2 linked regions of the Neodiprion lecontei genome follow. The protein of the gene in region 2 interacts with the protein of the main gene of each other region in a pairwise test. Links are inferred from orthologs where the notes say so. Each region holds a gene or a part of one and is shown on either strand. Other genes may lie near its edges.

Region 1 (8,899 bases), on a different chromosome or scaffold from region 2:
GGCGACACAGCGCTACTCAGTTTACTTCCAGTGTTGGATGCCTTACGGTTTACACAGGACGTCCGCTCTGTACTCTCTAGAAACTTACATTTACATCATACATGGTAGCATAGCCCCTGCCAGTAAAACCCATAGAATAGATTAGAGTTCAAACCGCTAACAGTCTAGTGTGTCTAGGGTAGAATTATTATTAATAATTAATAATAGGAACGTTTAAGCGCTACCCATGAAATAAGATGACAAAGTTTTGCCTTAGACTCTCTCCACTTTCTGTGCTTATCAGTAGCGCCGATAGAAAGTGCACACAGCAAGCTACTGTTAGCCATCACCTACGTCAGCACAATAACTTATGTAGGGTATCATTTTTTTTCTGCTTTTATGTCATATTCGCCTTTCACCTTTGACACGTGAAAAATGAAAACAAAATATCAGGGTCTGTAAATGCACGATAAACCGTAATTTCTATTAGCTTTTTATTTTATTATCGTCATCATTACTAATCCTCTTTTCAATTCCACTCAGCAAACTGATATTTTTAGTAAATATTTTACGCCATTCGACGTATGTAGCAGGCAATGATGATCCGAATAATTATTCAAGTAACCATACTGCAATAACGAATTCTATTAGCTGCCCTAGAATAACTAGGAAATGTGTACTAGAAGATATCTAGCTGTACGCTCACTGTATCAGTGAGGCAGCGGTATGCCGATTATACCTGAAGTGATTATGAAGAATCAGACAAACAGTAATAATAAACATTATGAAGCAACAGAAATATCTTTCTTTGTTATAATTTTTTATTCAACTCATTAGGGTCGCCGTTGATTAATTATCGAATCGTAATTCGCTCGAACGATCCATGTACACGTAATTTAAAATTAACAGGACAAACATTGTATGTGGCATGGAAAAGAATTGATGAGAACATAGCTCTATATTTTGCCCGCTTATCTTCTAATAACCCTAAACATCATTATTATTGCATGGTTTGTACATATTAGAGCGCAAAGTGTGTATGTTAGTAAGGATGGCCGTGCATCTGTCGATTTGCGAATGTCGCGTGCGGTTGTGGTATACGTGAGATAATATTATAGTGATATACATGAGCTATAAATATACATATATATATACACGTGTATATATATATATCTACGTGGATAATATATATAGATTTATGATTATTAATTATATATTATTATTAATAATAAATTCTTGATCATAGTGACAAAATAACTGGGTATTTAAATAAGTCATATACAAACGTGTGCCGAATCGTATGTCGGCTGTTTTTCTTGAATAAACAACAATGATTCGATCTGTTTTTATTCGTATATTTGGCAATTTATCGTATGACTGAATTGTATGAGTAATATACTAACAATAAACCTGCGTAACAATGAAACACTTTTCTTATATGTACAAAACAATGATCGTACCAACATCCATAATAATGCGTGTAAAAAAGTCTACCATAATTGTAAAAGAATTGATGTAATGAAACATTGTATTTGAGACTCAGCAGTTGCCTCCTGATTAACAATTTTCATTCAATTGTTGGGGAAATTGAGAAATTATCTAAACTTGTTCCTTATAGAAAAAAAGATATTGATCTGAGTTTCAACAGCTTATTGTAGTGATCCGTACTCGTTAGCATAACTTATATTGGCTGTCCTTGTATCGATCGAAATTTATACACATTAGGATAACCACATGATTGGCATGTACAGCAAATCTACAAATGAAATAAAATCACAAGTTCGGTTAAGGCTGAATCAATTTTTTGGAGGATCTTCTCTTATCATCTCCAAAGAACTATCGGAGTTGTTGGTGCTGCTACCACTCCCTGCATCATCTAGATCTTCTCTATCGCCTGTTTTCTCTCTTACTGTCGACGTTGCTAGCTGCCAAGTTGGAATGGATGCCGGTACACTCGGAAATTGTTTCCTATTGGTAAAGAAAATGTAATTCCGATATTATTCACAACTTACGAACAAAACAAATTCAGACAAAACTAAATCACTATTTACTCTGCAAAATAGACATTGCTGTACCTTGATAGCAGTAGACCCTTGAGACTGGCTAAGTCCTGTTTCAAGTCTTGAACGAGCTGTGGTATGCTAGGATCGATGGAGTGGTTTTCCGTCAGTTTACTGACGTCTATCTCTACCTTGGAAATGGAGTCTTTCATTTCTCTCAATGAGGTTTTAATAGTTTTGTCTAAGTCCGTTACGGATTCTTCCACAGTTTTGCGACTCTTGCGTCCAAATAAATAAGGCTCTATGAATTTCTAAAATACAATTGAAAGTCAATTAGGATAATTCTTTTAAATAGTATAATGGATCTTGTAACTCGAAGAAATGACAAGGTTAAATTGTTGCAGGTTCATTTAATTGAAACAGAATTACTACCATTTCCATTTGAGCCTTTTAGGTAGAACCTTGGCAATTTTTATATCTTCAATAGAATCTCGAAACTAACATAGTACATATAATATTCTATGCAGCATAAGGAGCGGAATCTCACCTTGTAGAACCAATATATACAATAAGTTGCAGTTCCAAACAGAGCAACGGTATTTAGAATTTCTTTGACTCTTTGAAATGTTGTTTGACGATACGATTGTAGTTGGTAATTTGGGTAGCTGTGACCATGATTCATAGGAACAACTGTGAACTCTTTTTGATTAGGAGTAAACGAAACTTCTGTGACAATTTGGTCCCCCCCCGCGATTTCACATGCTTTAATAATTTCGTTTTCCGAGAGACCTTTTCTTCGGAGAAATTCCTGTTTCTGTTTTAAAGGACTCGGAACTACCTTGGGATTTTGTAAAAATTTTACAGCAGTCCTGACCTAGATTGAGATGAAAGAGAGAAGCAGCTAGTAATTTAGTTGTTAAAAATTTGAAGAACAGCTATAAAGCGAAGTGTTGGTGAATTTATAAAGGTAATCGAGTGGTGCTTGTGTGTTTTCATTAATTGAATAAATGTGTCGTCATCATGCTTAATTAAATTGTTTCGAATGTGAAATAAAATCCCGGATATTCTAACCTAAAGTAGCGAAAAGTACTTACGAGCTCATCCCGCAAAGATACGCTATTATTACTTTCCTCAATGGCCATCGCGTCGATTATAACTCACTTTTGCTAGCCGATAAACGTAGCTTCATACTCATGTAACAGATTCTAATAAGTATGTATTACGGTAATTAGATGTGATTTTTCGTTCACTGCAAAATGAACACAACAGAAAAAGTGCAGTCTATTCCACGCAAGCGCACGATTTATACTATTATCCACTGATACATAATAGTATGGGTATACGGATACATCAAAAATTCTTTGGTCAGTATGAGATTAACACGGTCAAGGTTAAAAACAATCCCGAAAATACAAGAAACTATAAACAAATCGCTGACTCTTTCAAATAATGAAATTATGATCGGTAAAGGCAATCGGAAATACTCGGCAAGAGATAGTCTCTCTTCTATGCTTCTAGATCTCCCGATATTACGCGCACCTTATCAGTTGTGAAATATTTTCATTTCCTTTGTTTACCAATGTTTTCCAAGCTAAAAACAAATAAATGAGCAATGTCGTAGATAAAGACGTGTTGAGATATCTTGTTTTCTTTCAGCCCAATACACTTATAATAGTAATTCCCATATAGGTATATCGTATTCAACGTTGACTTCAATCAAATCTCAAGTAACAAGATCAAATTAACTACTGTATTATTGTTGACAAATAATTAAGAAAGAGAAATACGATTGGTTTGTTCCGTGCTATTTAATCGATTGAATTTACGTCAGGTTGACAACATGGTACACTCATCGATTCGATTCAACCTGTTGGATCATTGAGCCGGTATGCCTACACGGTATCATCCAGTGACGATCACTGACAACCGTAGTAGGAAAAAGTGGGTGTCGCTGCCGCATTCGCAGTTCTGTGTGCCCGCTGAACAGCTGCACTTCAGCGTAATTTCTACGATTTTCTTGAGTCGTCTGAATGCGTAAGTAAGAAAGTGTCCATTATAATTCATTGCTTTGTTATATGGTTGATTCTCAATTGTTTCCTCGGCTAACACAACTCTACATCTCATCGAAAAATTAATCTGTTCTGAATTAAGCATCGTCCACTTGTCAATCGATAATACTAACGGTCCGAAGAACGTTCGCCCGTAGAGATGGATCTTGGATGTGTTGCATGACGTTTTGAACCATCATTAGATTGTCGGACGCTCGGTGGGCGTTTATCGGGTCATCAAGCGTCATTTTTAACCAGTTTCTACGTTAAATAAAGTCTTGGTCGTTTCATGACTGATTAAAAATATTATTTATCACAGATCCGAACGAGCTGTACGCGAATTTTCGGTTCTCACTTCCAACAATTCATTGATCGGTTTCCGTTTTCACTTCTCTACAACTATCCGAGCTCTTTGAACAAGTGCTCAACACCGAACTGCTACAAGCAACAGCATTAAATGTTGACCACGGTGTCAACGAATATTCTGTGACAAATACATAGGATAATTTATCGAAATCACAAGTAGGCTGCTTGCCTTTAGACAATTGACTACCCTGAGTGTGAGAAAAATGGTAATCGACCAGTTTCGGCACTGTGAAAATACCAAGTGCATGTCTCTATTAGAATGCATCTCAATTACTACTTAATGACTTTGGAAGGTCAAGAACTAGAGGGCCAAAATTGTGATTGTATTTATTCAAACGAATGCAAAGTAGGCTATCTAATTAGTATATTAAGTGTTGAATCATCATAAATTGTTGAATTATAAATTTTTACGTAACTCTGCCCTGATTAGTTATATATGAATTTACAGGTGCGTAACCAAAAAAGTAATTCACAGCCTCCGTCAAGATGATCGGGGGACTGTTTGTCTACAACCATAAGGGAGAGGTGTTGATCTCTCGAGTATATCGTGACGATATTGGCAGAAATGCAGTCGATGCATTCAGGGTCAATGTTATTCACGCTCGGCAGCAAGTACGATCGCCAGTTACCAATATTGCCAGGACGTCGTTCTTCCATATTAAACGAGCCAATATCTGGCTGGCTGCTGTTACCAAGCAAAATGTCAACGCTGCTATGGTCTTTGAGTTTTTATTGAAAATCATCGAAGTCATGCAGTCGTATTTTGGCAAAATATCTGAGGAAAACATTAAGAACAACTTTGTCCTGATTTACGAACTGCTTGATGGTAAAAAAAATTGCCTATTCCATCGTATGAGTTTCATCTTAAAATCATGCACAAAATGGTATTTGGTCATAATCATTGATTATGACTATTTTTCTATCGATTCTTTAGAAATTCTGGATTTTGGTTACCCACAAAACTGTGACACTGGGGTACTGAAAACCTTCATCACTCAGCAAGGCGTCAAGTCCGCCACAAAAGAAGAACAGGCTCAGATTACTTCCCAAGTTACAGGTCAAATCGGATGGCGACGAGAAGGAATAAAATATAGGCGCAATGAACTTTTCCTTGATGTTCTTGAATACGTCAATTTATTGATGAGCCCCCAGGGCCAGGTTCTCAGCGCTCATGTGGCTGGCAAGGTTAGCAAACATTCTTACCATCTTTTTTCAGATGCCTAAGGATTTAAAAACCGTTTTGATGTTTGACATTATTAGCATTGATGGAACTATTCAAATATGTTATTAATTTTAAAAGTTTTCTCTCCCAAACAGGTAGTGATGAAGTCCTACTTGTCAGGAATGCCAGAGTGTAAGTTCGGGATTAATGATAAAATAGTGATGGATGCAAAAGGAGTGAAAGGAGGAGGTGGTAGTTTAGGTAGCACGGGTGATGACCCTGGAGCTAGATCTGGCAAGCCTGTGGTGGTTATCGATGATTGCCAGTTCCATCAATGTGTCAAACTTTCCAAGTTTGAGACAGAACATTCCATCAGTTTCATCCCACCGGATGGTGAATTCGAATTAATGAGGTAATTGATGGGTTCCAGTAACGGTTCTTTTGGTAGCATCCAAACAATGAGTAAATACATAAACATCGAGTGATTTGAAAACTTGAAAAATAATTATGTAAAATATTGTTGTACCAGATATCGGACCACAAAAGATATATCACTGCCATTCCGCGTTATACCATTGGTACGTGAAGTCGGCCGCACGAAGATGGAAGTAAAGGCTGTCCTCAAGTCAAGTTTCAAATCCTCTTTACTTGGCCAAAAGATCGAGGTCCGTGTTCCGACGCCATTGAATACAGCTGGCGTACAACTGATATGTTTAAAGGGAAAGGCAAAATATAAGGCATCGGAAAATGCAATTGTATGGAAGATAAAGCGAATGGCTGGCATGAAAGAGACGCAGTTGTCTGCTGAAATTGATCTGTTAGAAACTGATACGAAGAAGAAGTGGACACGACCACCAATTTCCATGAACTTTGAGGTTCCATTTGCCCCTTCTGGATTCAAAGTTCGTTACTTGAAAGTATTTGAATCTAAACTGAATTATTCTGATCATGATGTTATTAAATGGGTCAGATACATTGGACGAAGTGGCCTATATGAAACACGATGCTAATCACCAACTTGTCGATGATAAAATACAAAAAAGTAATCTCACCTTTGAAGTGTAATGAACATAAATGTAATAAGGCTATAGCTGCGTTTTACACTTGGGACTTGCGGTATATAAACAAACTAAAAAGTTGCTGGTATTTATTCTCGTAAGTTCAAAGTTCAAACGTCCCTTGTAAGTATGGAAAGATCCAAAAAATTAATGATTTTAATCCGATTACATTATAAGGCGTAATTAATTATAGCAATGTCGCAGTCTTTCGGGGTATTCTCTAAGAATTCGCACAAAAGAAAAGGACAAAACATTCCGCCTAAACAGCCCTTAAAAATGTCAATGCCACCGTTCTGATCAAAATACAATACTTTTCCTATAACTGCTTATTTCAATCAGGGAGCATTTTTATGCGAGGCATAATTTACCGTCAACGATTAAAATAATGCTCCAATATATCGTGAAAATGTATTTAAAATGTGAACGATTTCTCTAGAGATGTGCCCGGCTGGTCCATGGTCACTTGAAGGCGTATGTCAAATGTAGCTTCTGTCTCTCTATATTATATCGATATATTATAGGTATATACATGTATGTATATATGTATCACAAACCGCATGATTAAACGTTAGTGCAGTGTTTAAGTTGATTTTCAGTTATACCCGAAATTATAAGAAAAATAAAGCATAACATTCAATACTTGAACATTACTGGTTTTATTAAAAAATTGAGTACACGAAGCGTTGATAGATTGTAAAAAGTAGTTTGACCGTATATTGAAAGACGATCTCTGTCACTGGTGACTAATCGATAGTTGACATAAATTGGACGAAATTCTTCTAGTCTTTTTACACAGTTGCAACTATCTCATTTTATCACCAAACCTCACGTGTTCAACATTTCTTGTTTTCACAATATTTTCGTGTTTTTATAGTACATATACATTTCCAAATAAGATAATTTAGCAAGCATTCCATTCCTAATAAATACAGCTAATAAAATTCCCTCAGAAATTCGGTCTATGATTTTCTAATTTTTGAGCTGCAACAAAATCTACTCAATACAGAACTCTTTAAAGTGCACGAAAGAAAATAAGTATGTGCTTCAGAATGGAAATTAAACCCTTTTACAGTGATCTATTGAATAATTATACTGTGCGTACTATTTCTTTTATCACGAACACCTCTATCAAATGTGAGTTAGAAATAATAATATCATTTAATGTAAATGATATATGACTTCTTCAGTTTTACGTTTGACAATCAAACTTAGTCAATCAAAATATGAATAAAAGAATTCAATTCAGCTATTGATAATAACACATAATAAAGTACACTTGCATACTTATTTAATGATTCACAGTGATAGAGATTGGCTTTTGAATTGAAAAAAAATGACTTGTGTGCAACTCATTTGAAAGGTTTGTACCTTTGAGATCCTATACGAATTTAAATGGCAAATAAGCCATCTACTTTTCAGGCTGATATTCTCGTAAAACACTTCAACTACCAAGTAACTAAAATCCAGTGATTATTTTTGGATAATGCATATTACATTACGTAAACTATTATCACTTGCAAAATTTCGAGTGATTTTCACGATAAGAAATGTCACACTAGAAGTCGATTGAATCCGTTATGTTACAGTTATTGAAACTGACTAAATGCGTAGCTAGATTTTATGTGAATACAATGATTTAAAGTACAAGTTAACGTACCTGCTAACGTTTCAACGAACATGTCGTTATCATAGCAGTGAAACATTTTATTGGAATGCAGGCTTAAAATGATTTCGGTTAGAACGCTTGAAATGAAATCTATATGAATCGTTATAGTTAGTGACTAATCTGTCTGAATGAGAGATTATGATGAATTAGTAACTGATAGTAGCAGTTTATATACAAAAGTTTATAAATAGATATACATATACATTAATTGTAAGCACACGTCTCGTTACTTATTATAATTTTTCTACATTAATTAATTTTATTTCAATCTTTTATCTGGTTGGCACTTTCCGTAAACTGAGTACATTAGATTACTGCTGTGATTTTTTGACCAGTTCAGTTATCCAATTCTGAATAAACAGAGCCACGCTAAAAATAAACCAAATATTCACTATGCCGAGATATATATTCATTGCAATTTTCAGTATATGCTCATTTAGAAGGCCACAAATGTTAGTACAGCAAATTGATTTTTCGATTAGAATTTTTGTAATTTTGAAAAGTTGATTTCAAAGTGTTTTATAAAAATACAGTCCTTCCGGGGCAAAGGAAACATTTTCGAAAAATAACTATCATTTGTCGAAACTATTCCTTTCCATAAAAACCATGATATAGTATTG
Region 2 (8,264 bases):
TTTTGAATTTTAGATCCCGTGTCGGAGAAAAGGAGGTAGGAATCGTTGGAAGTTTGAACGGGAGGTATTTAGAAATAATTTTCGCCTTTTTCCTAATCCTTGCGTCTTCTTCGCTAATCGTTCTGGGTCGCGTTGGGGGCTCGAACAGCTTATTTCTTTCTTTTATTCGTTCTTCTGTATTTCCCTTGCAATAGCAAATATCTTCAGAAGTTCTGATGGTGTGGTTAGAATTCTGCGGTTTATTGAGATAAGGCTCCTTTACAGAGTCCGGGATTTCGTGCGGATCGCTTAATATAATCGGCTGAGTATATTGTTCCCAAAGCTTCGCTATGGTTCCGCGTTTTCCTCCGTTTATTTCGTTCGATTTTGGGAGCATTCGTTATGAGAACAAAGGGTATTTGTCAGAGGTTTCGATTAAAGGTTGAAATCCTGGTTCGACAGAGTATTTCGATGAAAACGAGGGATCTCGGCGATACAAGATCCCAGTAGTTGCGATATTGAAGTAATATTTGAATGGGAAATTTCCAGAGCGGATGGAAAAATTCTTGATTGACTCATTGATTTTTAGGATTTTGGCGAGTTAACGGGTATTCAAATTCGAGTTCGTTTAGTCATTTTATTAAATCGAGCGAGATTAGGGTGATTTTCAGTTCGTGTTGGTAGCGCGCAAAAATTCCGCCGTCCGTCGGTCGCTACTCGCGTCACAAAAAGTTTTTCGCGATTATAACGTTTGGTCTTCCCGGCCGATGCACCAGAAAATTTTTGATATGTGACGTCGGAACGGTACCTAGTGGAAATCTCCAGATGTTAGACACCGGAAACATTCACACACAGTTACAGCCAGACTCACATCAGTAGTTTGGGTCACCAATTACCGATTAAGTATTGAAATACACCGGACAACGGGCATTCTGTCGCTCTAGTCGAACGAACCGAAGAGGGAGAAATTGTTGGATAAAAGATTTAATTTGGCTTACCTTTTTGAGAGTATTCTGGATGCGATGACTTGTAGATTGGTGAGAGGTTTTAGTGGAATAACTGACTTTAATATATTTGGATATTTTGACTAACTTGGTTTATTTTATAAGTTTGATATTTAAAAGTCACAAACGCAGAGTTACACAGTGTAAGATCTTAGACTTAGTAAAAATGGAGTTGAAGCTCGCTGAACTTTTGGGCAGAGTAACGTTGTATGAAAGTTTTAATGCAAAAGGCTAAAGGATTTTACCGCGAGACTGTACCGGAACTAGATGACGAATCTGGAGGTAGAAACACAAGAGAGCGATCGAGTGATCGGTCGCCCTTTTTATAGGGGTCGATCGTTGCGCAGAACGATCCCCCTCTCTAGTTTTTTGGTCGCCTTTGCGCACCTCCCCTCTTTTCTAGGAATTCTAATTAGGGCACGACATCTTCGCCGCATGCACGCCTGTGATCTTATTTCTTTAGCTATTACTATATTGTAGGTTTTTACGTATGGTATATCGCTGCTTGGTGCGGTGGTGTAGGTGCGTGGACTTGGTTCCGTAGTTCTCCGAACTGCGTGAGCTTTTCGTTGTGTCGCCAGCCCCCTTTGTGGCGCCAGCCCCCTTTGTGGCGCCAGCCCCTTTGTGGCGCCCGTCAGCCACTTAACTACCTGTCTACCTCTGAATGTTTTTGCTATCTTGCTCGTTACAAAGCCCATATTTCATTTTGGTTACCTGTCGTTTGTTAGTTTTATAGTTATATCTATATAGAATTGTATATGTATTATAGTCGACTACTGTCGTTGTTAGTTTTATAGTTGTATCTATATAGAATTGCATATGTATTAAAGTCGACTACTGTCGTTGTTAATCTGGAGTACAATAGCAATTGTTTATGAACATAGTTTGTTATTTGTTTAGCATTATTAGAATCACGCTGCTGCGAATATCTTTAGTTGTTTGTGTTATAACTATCTTAACAGATTTAGGGTACTTAGTAATTTGATGATTCATAGCTTTAGAGCAGGTTTACATGTGTGCTTTTGTATATGATTCCCTTCTGTAGTTGTTAATTCTTATATTGATATAAATCGGCTTGGAAGCTTCTAGAACGTTTTCGTTTCGTCGGTAAGTTTCCTAATGTATTCTCTAGGTAAGGCTCTGTATGGCTCCACATTGGAGATCTGCATTGCCTTCAAAACGTTGCGCGTGTTGCCTACAATACGGCGTTGCGGAAGAAGGTATAGTTCATGCTGGGTAATTAGCATTCACGGTTTGATGGTTTTGCAGTCTCTGGTTTTATGGGTTATTGCAGCAGTGCTATCTTTACATTATATTGGTTATGCATTTATCTATGGTTTTACAGTCTTCTATACTCCAGGCTATATAGTAAAGCGTATGTTGCTTAAGTATAGCTCTCAGCTCCGAATGCACAAATGGCATTGCTGAGTGCTATATAATAATTGGGTATAATTGTGTTAGTTAATTATAGTGTTAATGTGATAGTGATATATAATAACGTATAATAATATTATAGTTCTCTGTAGTACGAAGATCTCGTAACATGGTTTGTAAGCCTTGGCTAGTGAATTTCATAGTTATTTCCATCTAGGGGTATTCCAAATAGTTAGACAGTTGTTTTAATTTCTTATGGTTACAAGATTCTCGTACTTAGAGTTTGGTTAGTTGATAAAAGTAACATGCAGTAATAATAATCGATAAAACATACGGACGTTCCGGTCGGACGTTACACACTCCTCAGCAATCCCTAGTACACTACCCTAGTTCTTTTTACACTCGCGAGTGTAGAGTATAGCTAGCACGAACAAACCTAGGCCGTGTTCGTAAATTGACTGCCAGTACTAAAAATTCCCTAGGAAAGAGACAGAGCTGTCCATGAACTCGGCAGCGCAAATGAGATAAAAGATTGCCGACAGTGGTGTCAGTCAATTTTCGAACACGGCCAAAGTGTAACGAAAGTCTAGTGACATTTGTAAAACAAACAGCGCCATCCGACGTCACGTCCGCTAAAACGAACGCGCAAGTGTACACCCCCACGAAAGTGTAGAAAGTGTAGCTAGCACGAACAAACCTACTACCAAATAGGGCCTCTAAATTGGAATTGTCCGACCTTTATACGAGGCCCTAGTCGGTAACTTGCCATCCAATTTTCCTGACACACCATCTCCCATAAGGCCAGCGCCCTTTAGTAGAGTATGAACTGCATCTTCACGTTGACTGACCAACGGTCTTCATTGTAGATTCACTGTTCACCGACCAAACCTGACCAAACTGACTATGTTGCATCCGTCAATCAATGTCAAGCTACTGTCAAACAAGTGAAAACCTACAATCATTTTGAAGGAAAAGACGGAACAAAGAACTGTCGAATATTGCGACATGCCTGGAGGTTGCAGATTTCTCAAACAGTCAACACGTTTACAAGAAAAGTCATAATTGTATAAAGATGGATTTCGAAAGCCCTGATGTTGAAAAAGATTTTCCTGGCTTGTACGCTTCGGAATCCGGGAGAAAGAGCAATGAAAGCGACTGTAAGATATTAATGATTCTTCATCCTAGGAGCACGGGCTCATTTTTTGCTTGCAGAAATCGCACACGCATATTCACACGCGCGCGCGCGCGATAGTATTACATTCCTCCTGTGGAAACTATGTTCCTATTTCGGCATAAATCTCCCAATTTTCTCGAGAGTTGAATAAATCTTCATCGAGTTATATAACTTGTAACGGACATATACATGTAGGCCAAACTTCTGTGTAGAGCTACACAAGGTTCACGAGACTTGCGTGTAGTTCTAAGTATTGAAGCGTAGCATTTTTAATGACACCTGTAGTGTCTGACATTCGACTTGAAATTTATAGTTTTAAAAATCAAACAAACCACTAGTTCAAACAATATTTATGTTGGAAAGTTAGTGACGATGGACACGATAGGCCGTCTAAGAAGGAACTTCTCATTGGCAAACGTAAGGACAAAAAAGACAAAAAGGATCGTGGATATGCTACGCTAGAGGGTGAAAGCTCCCCAGAAGAAGACATCGAAACTAAGTATTGTAATACTTATGCCTTTATAGTAATAATGCCTTTCATGCAGAAATTATATTCATTTTTTTAGTATATCATGGAAAAAATAGAAGACAACATCTATCAGATGTTATCTCTAATTATGATACTTTCTCAATCAGATATCTCAGTTTATTGAATTGTTGCCTGCTATTCAACACATATTTGTCCACGGAATTAATTTCAATAATTATCATTCAAATCGCTGAATGATGTACATTTGCGAAGATGTATTGAAGGCAACAAAAGTGTCTTATATAATACTAATATGGATTACGCGTCTTTTTTTTACGTCTTTTCCGGATGTAAAGCAATCACTTTTACGACAGTATAAATAAAGAGCATCGAAGTATGTAAAAGTACACAAAAACATCCTAGTATTTCAAAGTGCTCTTTTTCGTACTTGGTTAAAAATAAAAATTGTGAGCCACACTTCTATTACGTAAAGTATTATGTGCACCATGGAGGGAAATTATATTTTGACTCACGTATTTGCAATATTTGTCTTCGGCTTGCGTAAACATGCTCACTTACATCTCATATTGCAAACTTGTGCTTGGCGTGAAAAGATCTACTTTGCTTCTTTGGTGCACAACCTACTATTACAATTACTGATTTCTGTTTTGCTTGAAATCTTCCGTAATTCCTCATAATCGCTTTTAGTGAATTTTTTCTATCACGCTAAACCTTGTAAGGGTGCTCACTATTACATATTCTTAATCAACATTAGCATGGTAGATCTAATTACGTTTGCAGCCCATTAGCTGTTGCCTGTCGATTGGCTGAGATTCTGAAATTAATAGCTTCTGTCATCACTCAGAGATGCATGGCCCTCATATTTTCTTTACGTAAATACTATTCCCAGCTACTCTGTTTTTGCTTGAAAAAAATAAGAGTGCTTAACGAATATGTCTATCAACTGCTTTGTTTCTAGTTGCGGTGACTTAATTTTGTTGATTATACTTGCTCTAATTTACTTAACAAACCTATATTTTGTGATAAAAGTTTTTATTTACTACGTACAAGAGACAAGCAATTAATTTCTTACCTAATAACATTTCCACATGTTATTTAGCTATGCACACTCACTCAAGACAGTTCTTGTAGGTTTAGATATGAAATTAGTATCTTATATGGTTGAGACTATTACAAATGAGTTAACGGCTTCTGCGTATCGCATCTATTGACTTGCGATATATTTACAAAATAGATGTAAAAGGGACTTATAAATCCCCATCCTACACAAACGTTTTTGAATTTATATGTATATATATCTAACGAAAGATAAATGTGTTTGGCCATCTTTTCATATTGTACGCATTGTACTTCTTAATGTATACATTTCTTAGGAGTCCATCGAAGTCAAAAAAGTCTAAAACATTCAAGTTCCCATCTAAGAAGGAAAAGCGAGAGAAATCCAGAGAAAAAGATGGTAAGGAAAAGGAAACAGATAAAGAGAGAGAGAGGAAAAAAAAAGACAAAGACGACAAGGATACGGACAAAGAGAAACGTAAAGATAAAGATAAGGAGAAATCTAAACAAAAGTTGAAGGATCGCAAAAAAGGAAAACATTGGGAAGAAACTGTTGATATTGGTGGTAAGACAACTGCAGAGAATACTGAAGCCCTGTGATTGGGGTGATATACCAATAAAAAATTAATCAATCTTTATTGATCAACATGTTTCAGAAGAACAACCAATCTTTGGCGTTGCTCTTCAAATGGCTGTGGAAAGAGGCCGTTGTCATGACGGAGTGGAGCTTCCATTGGTTGTAAGAAATTGCATTGATTACATTGAAGAATATGGCAAGTCAATAGCATCAATAATTATATCTTTGAATATTTAGTGACAACTGGCTAGACGGCCAGGCTCATGTACTTCATCTTGATGGTCAATTTGTGTGGAAGTGCTTTTGCAGTATAAAAATATCAAGGTCTAGAAGAGGCATTTAAAAGTCTCCTGTGTAATCATCGACTTGAGTGACATATAAATGTTATTCAATTATTCAAGTCTATTATTGTCTATTAGGGAGAGAACATCATATAGCTCAGGTCCGCTCGAGCACTCCGTTTATAGCGACAAAAAAATTATCTGTAGCTGATCAACTCTGGTATTCTCCAGTCGAAATTTCAAAATGGCCTGACACTGCAACGCTTACATGTATCTGCAAATTTTCTCGTTATCGCTTCCAGGTATGACTGTGGATGGACTATACAAAGTTTCAGCAGTAAAATCCAAGGTCCAACATCTGCGAAAACTTTACAATCAACGAGAAGTAGTAGATATGTCAGAGTTTGATCCCATGGTGGCTACAAGTTTGTTGATACTATTTCTCAGGTTGTAATTAAATTCTGACTGAAATATTGTTCAATAAAAATGAAAATATACCAGGTACGTAATTACGTGGAGTAATCAGGATTTCTGTCTCCTACCTTGCAGAGAGTTGCCGGAACCAATACTTGAAAATGGCGAAGTTGTATCTCGATTTGAACAGGCAGCTTCATTGAAAGAAGTTGCTTTGAGAGAAACGCAGCTAATTGATTTGATAAGTCAACTACCCAAGTGTAACAAGACTCTTTTGGCATGGGTGATCTTGCATTTAGATCACCTCACTGCACATGTGAGTGTTCAGGAGTAAATATTCCTTGTAATGCTCAATGAAACAAGGTTCTTATTAAATTTTAGGAAAAAACTACCAAAATGAATGCTCAGTCTATTGCAATGACACTGAGTCCAGTTTTGCAAATGAGCCATCGACTACTCTTGGCATTGCTGTTACATTGCAAAGCATTATTTGCAAATGTTGAATTATCCAAGTATATTCCACCATTGGCCTCTGGTAGTCCAAACTTACCAGACACTATGGATGCCATAGCTGCCGAGTTGGCCAAACAAGAATCATTGCTGTCTCAAATTCATATGCAAATGAACGCAGGATTTGTAACCAAATTGAGAGAGGAACAATTGTGGGAAGTGCAGCGTCTCATAACGCAGCTCAAGGTGAGAGGTTTCGCAATTTCACGAAAAAAATACAGATTCCGGAAAGGAAAAGAATATTAATCAAATCTCAGTATCAGCAAACTAGCCAATGAGTATAAGTAAATTAATATTCATTTCTTAGTTTGGAATGTTTGTGAAATGTTTGTTTTGGAAATGACACTCATCCTGTAGGTTTGAAAATAGTAGTACAGATTGTAGACTTATTACACTTGTAGAGAAAATACAAAACTGTGCAAAAATTGGAGGGATCAACGCACAAAAGTTTAGAAGAAGATTTGAAGTTAGGCGACGAGGGTAATCTTGATATCAGTTTGCACAAAGCTAAGATCGTTCCTGAGGAAGATAATAGTTACATCAAAGCTGATTATCAGCCATTGCCTATGGCTGTTGTAGCCCATAAAGAAAGTTGTTCTCAAAGTATGGACGAATCAAACGACCAATGTGATACACCTGAAGTGAATGAGAAATTAGGTATGCTGCCTGCAAGTAAACACGTTTCGCAAACTAAATGCATCCAAGAAAAACTGGATGCATCAGCTAATGAACTAACACCAGACGAAGTAGTTAATCGAAACAGTGGGGAAACTTTGCAAATTTGTATGTATAATATTTTGATTGAAACGTGTATTTGTTAAAAATATTAATTCCAAATGACGTTTATCGCACACTAGAAAATGTGATTTATACCTGTTTTATTAAAGTGAAAGCTCGACAGATATCTCTCGATAGTGACGAGGAACTGAGAGAACGGCTGATCTATGGCGAATTATTAGCAATGCAGGAATCACTAGGATCGCGTATTGCCGAAGAGCGAGGTGAAATAAAACGATTGGCCGAACTTTTGACGAATAAGGACTTTGAAAGAAGTAAGCCCATAGCAGTCCCCTGTACCCCCGAAGAAGTCGATAGGGTTGCAATAATTGAACTTGTTCTGGAAAATCAGATGCTGGAGGTAAAAATTACATTTCATAGTCGCTTTTATTTAATACAGTATACAAGAACATTAATTTCTGGTCAATGCCAAGAAAATTCATACAAGGGTTCGCATTCAAAGTTGCCGCATTTGAAAATTTTTGAAGCAGCACTTCTGCAACGAAATATACCACTGCGTAATTTGTAGCCTACAAGTAGTTCTTCCGAAGCGATACAACACTTTCTAATTTTCAAAGGTCTTTTTTGATCAAGAAATAAAAAATAAATAAATAAACCTGAATGAATC

Evidence for each region. The genes of interacting proteins can lie anywhere in the genome.
Region 1: the proteins of ralA-binding protein 1 (region 2) and AP-2 complex subunit mu interact in a two-hybrid assay, tested with the Drosophila melanogaster proteins (2 studies listed by BioGRID). The link is inferred for Neodiprion lecontei from reciprocal best matches to the Drosophila melanogaster genes Rlip and AP-2mu.

The regions. Positions count from the first base shown.
Region 1 is NC_060261.1:8,412,483-8,421,381, forward strand, and holds AP-2 complex subunit mu, read left to right. Parts: upstream 1-3,873; 5' UTR 3,874-4,013; exon of another isoform or gene 4,014-4,017; intron 4,018-4,624; exon of another isoform or gene 4,625-4,739; intron 4,740-4,841; 5' UTR 4,842-4,879; coding exon 4,880-5,219; intron 5,220-5,327; coding exon 5,328-5,578; intron 5,579-5,710; coding exon 5,711-5,967; intron 5,968-6,084; coding exon 6,085-6,565; 3' UTR 6,566-7,258; downstream 7,259-8,899. Other genes in the region: CTD nuclear envelope phosphatase 1 homolog, read left to right, coding at 1-108; peroxisomal membrane protein PEX14, read right to left, coding at 1,776-1,947, 2,055-2,290, 2,527-2,853, 3,074-3,121.
Region 2 is NC_060265.1:31,646,680-31,654,943, reverse strand, and holds the start of ralA-binding protein 1, read left to right. Parts: upstream 1-2,995; 5' UTR 2,996-3,114; exon of another isoform or gene 3,115-3,223; 5' UTR 3,224-3,429; coding exon 3,430-3,514; intron 3,515-3,894; coding exon 3,895-4,030; intron 4,031-5,394; coding exon 5,395-5,642; intron 5,643-5,733; coding exon 5,734-5,850; intron 5,851-6,237; coding exon 6,238-6,382; intron 6,383-6,484; coding exon 6,485-6,665; intron 6,666-6,730; coding exon 6,731-7,045; intron 7,046-7,260; coding exon 7,261-7,642; intron 7,643-7,746; coding exon 7,747-7,997; intron 7,998-8,264. UniProt on the Drosophila melanogaster protein: Participates in receptor endocytosis during interphase, is also involved in mitotic processes when endocytosis is switched off.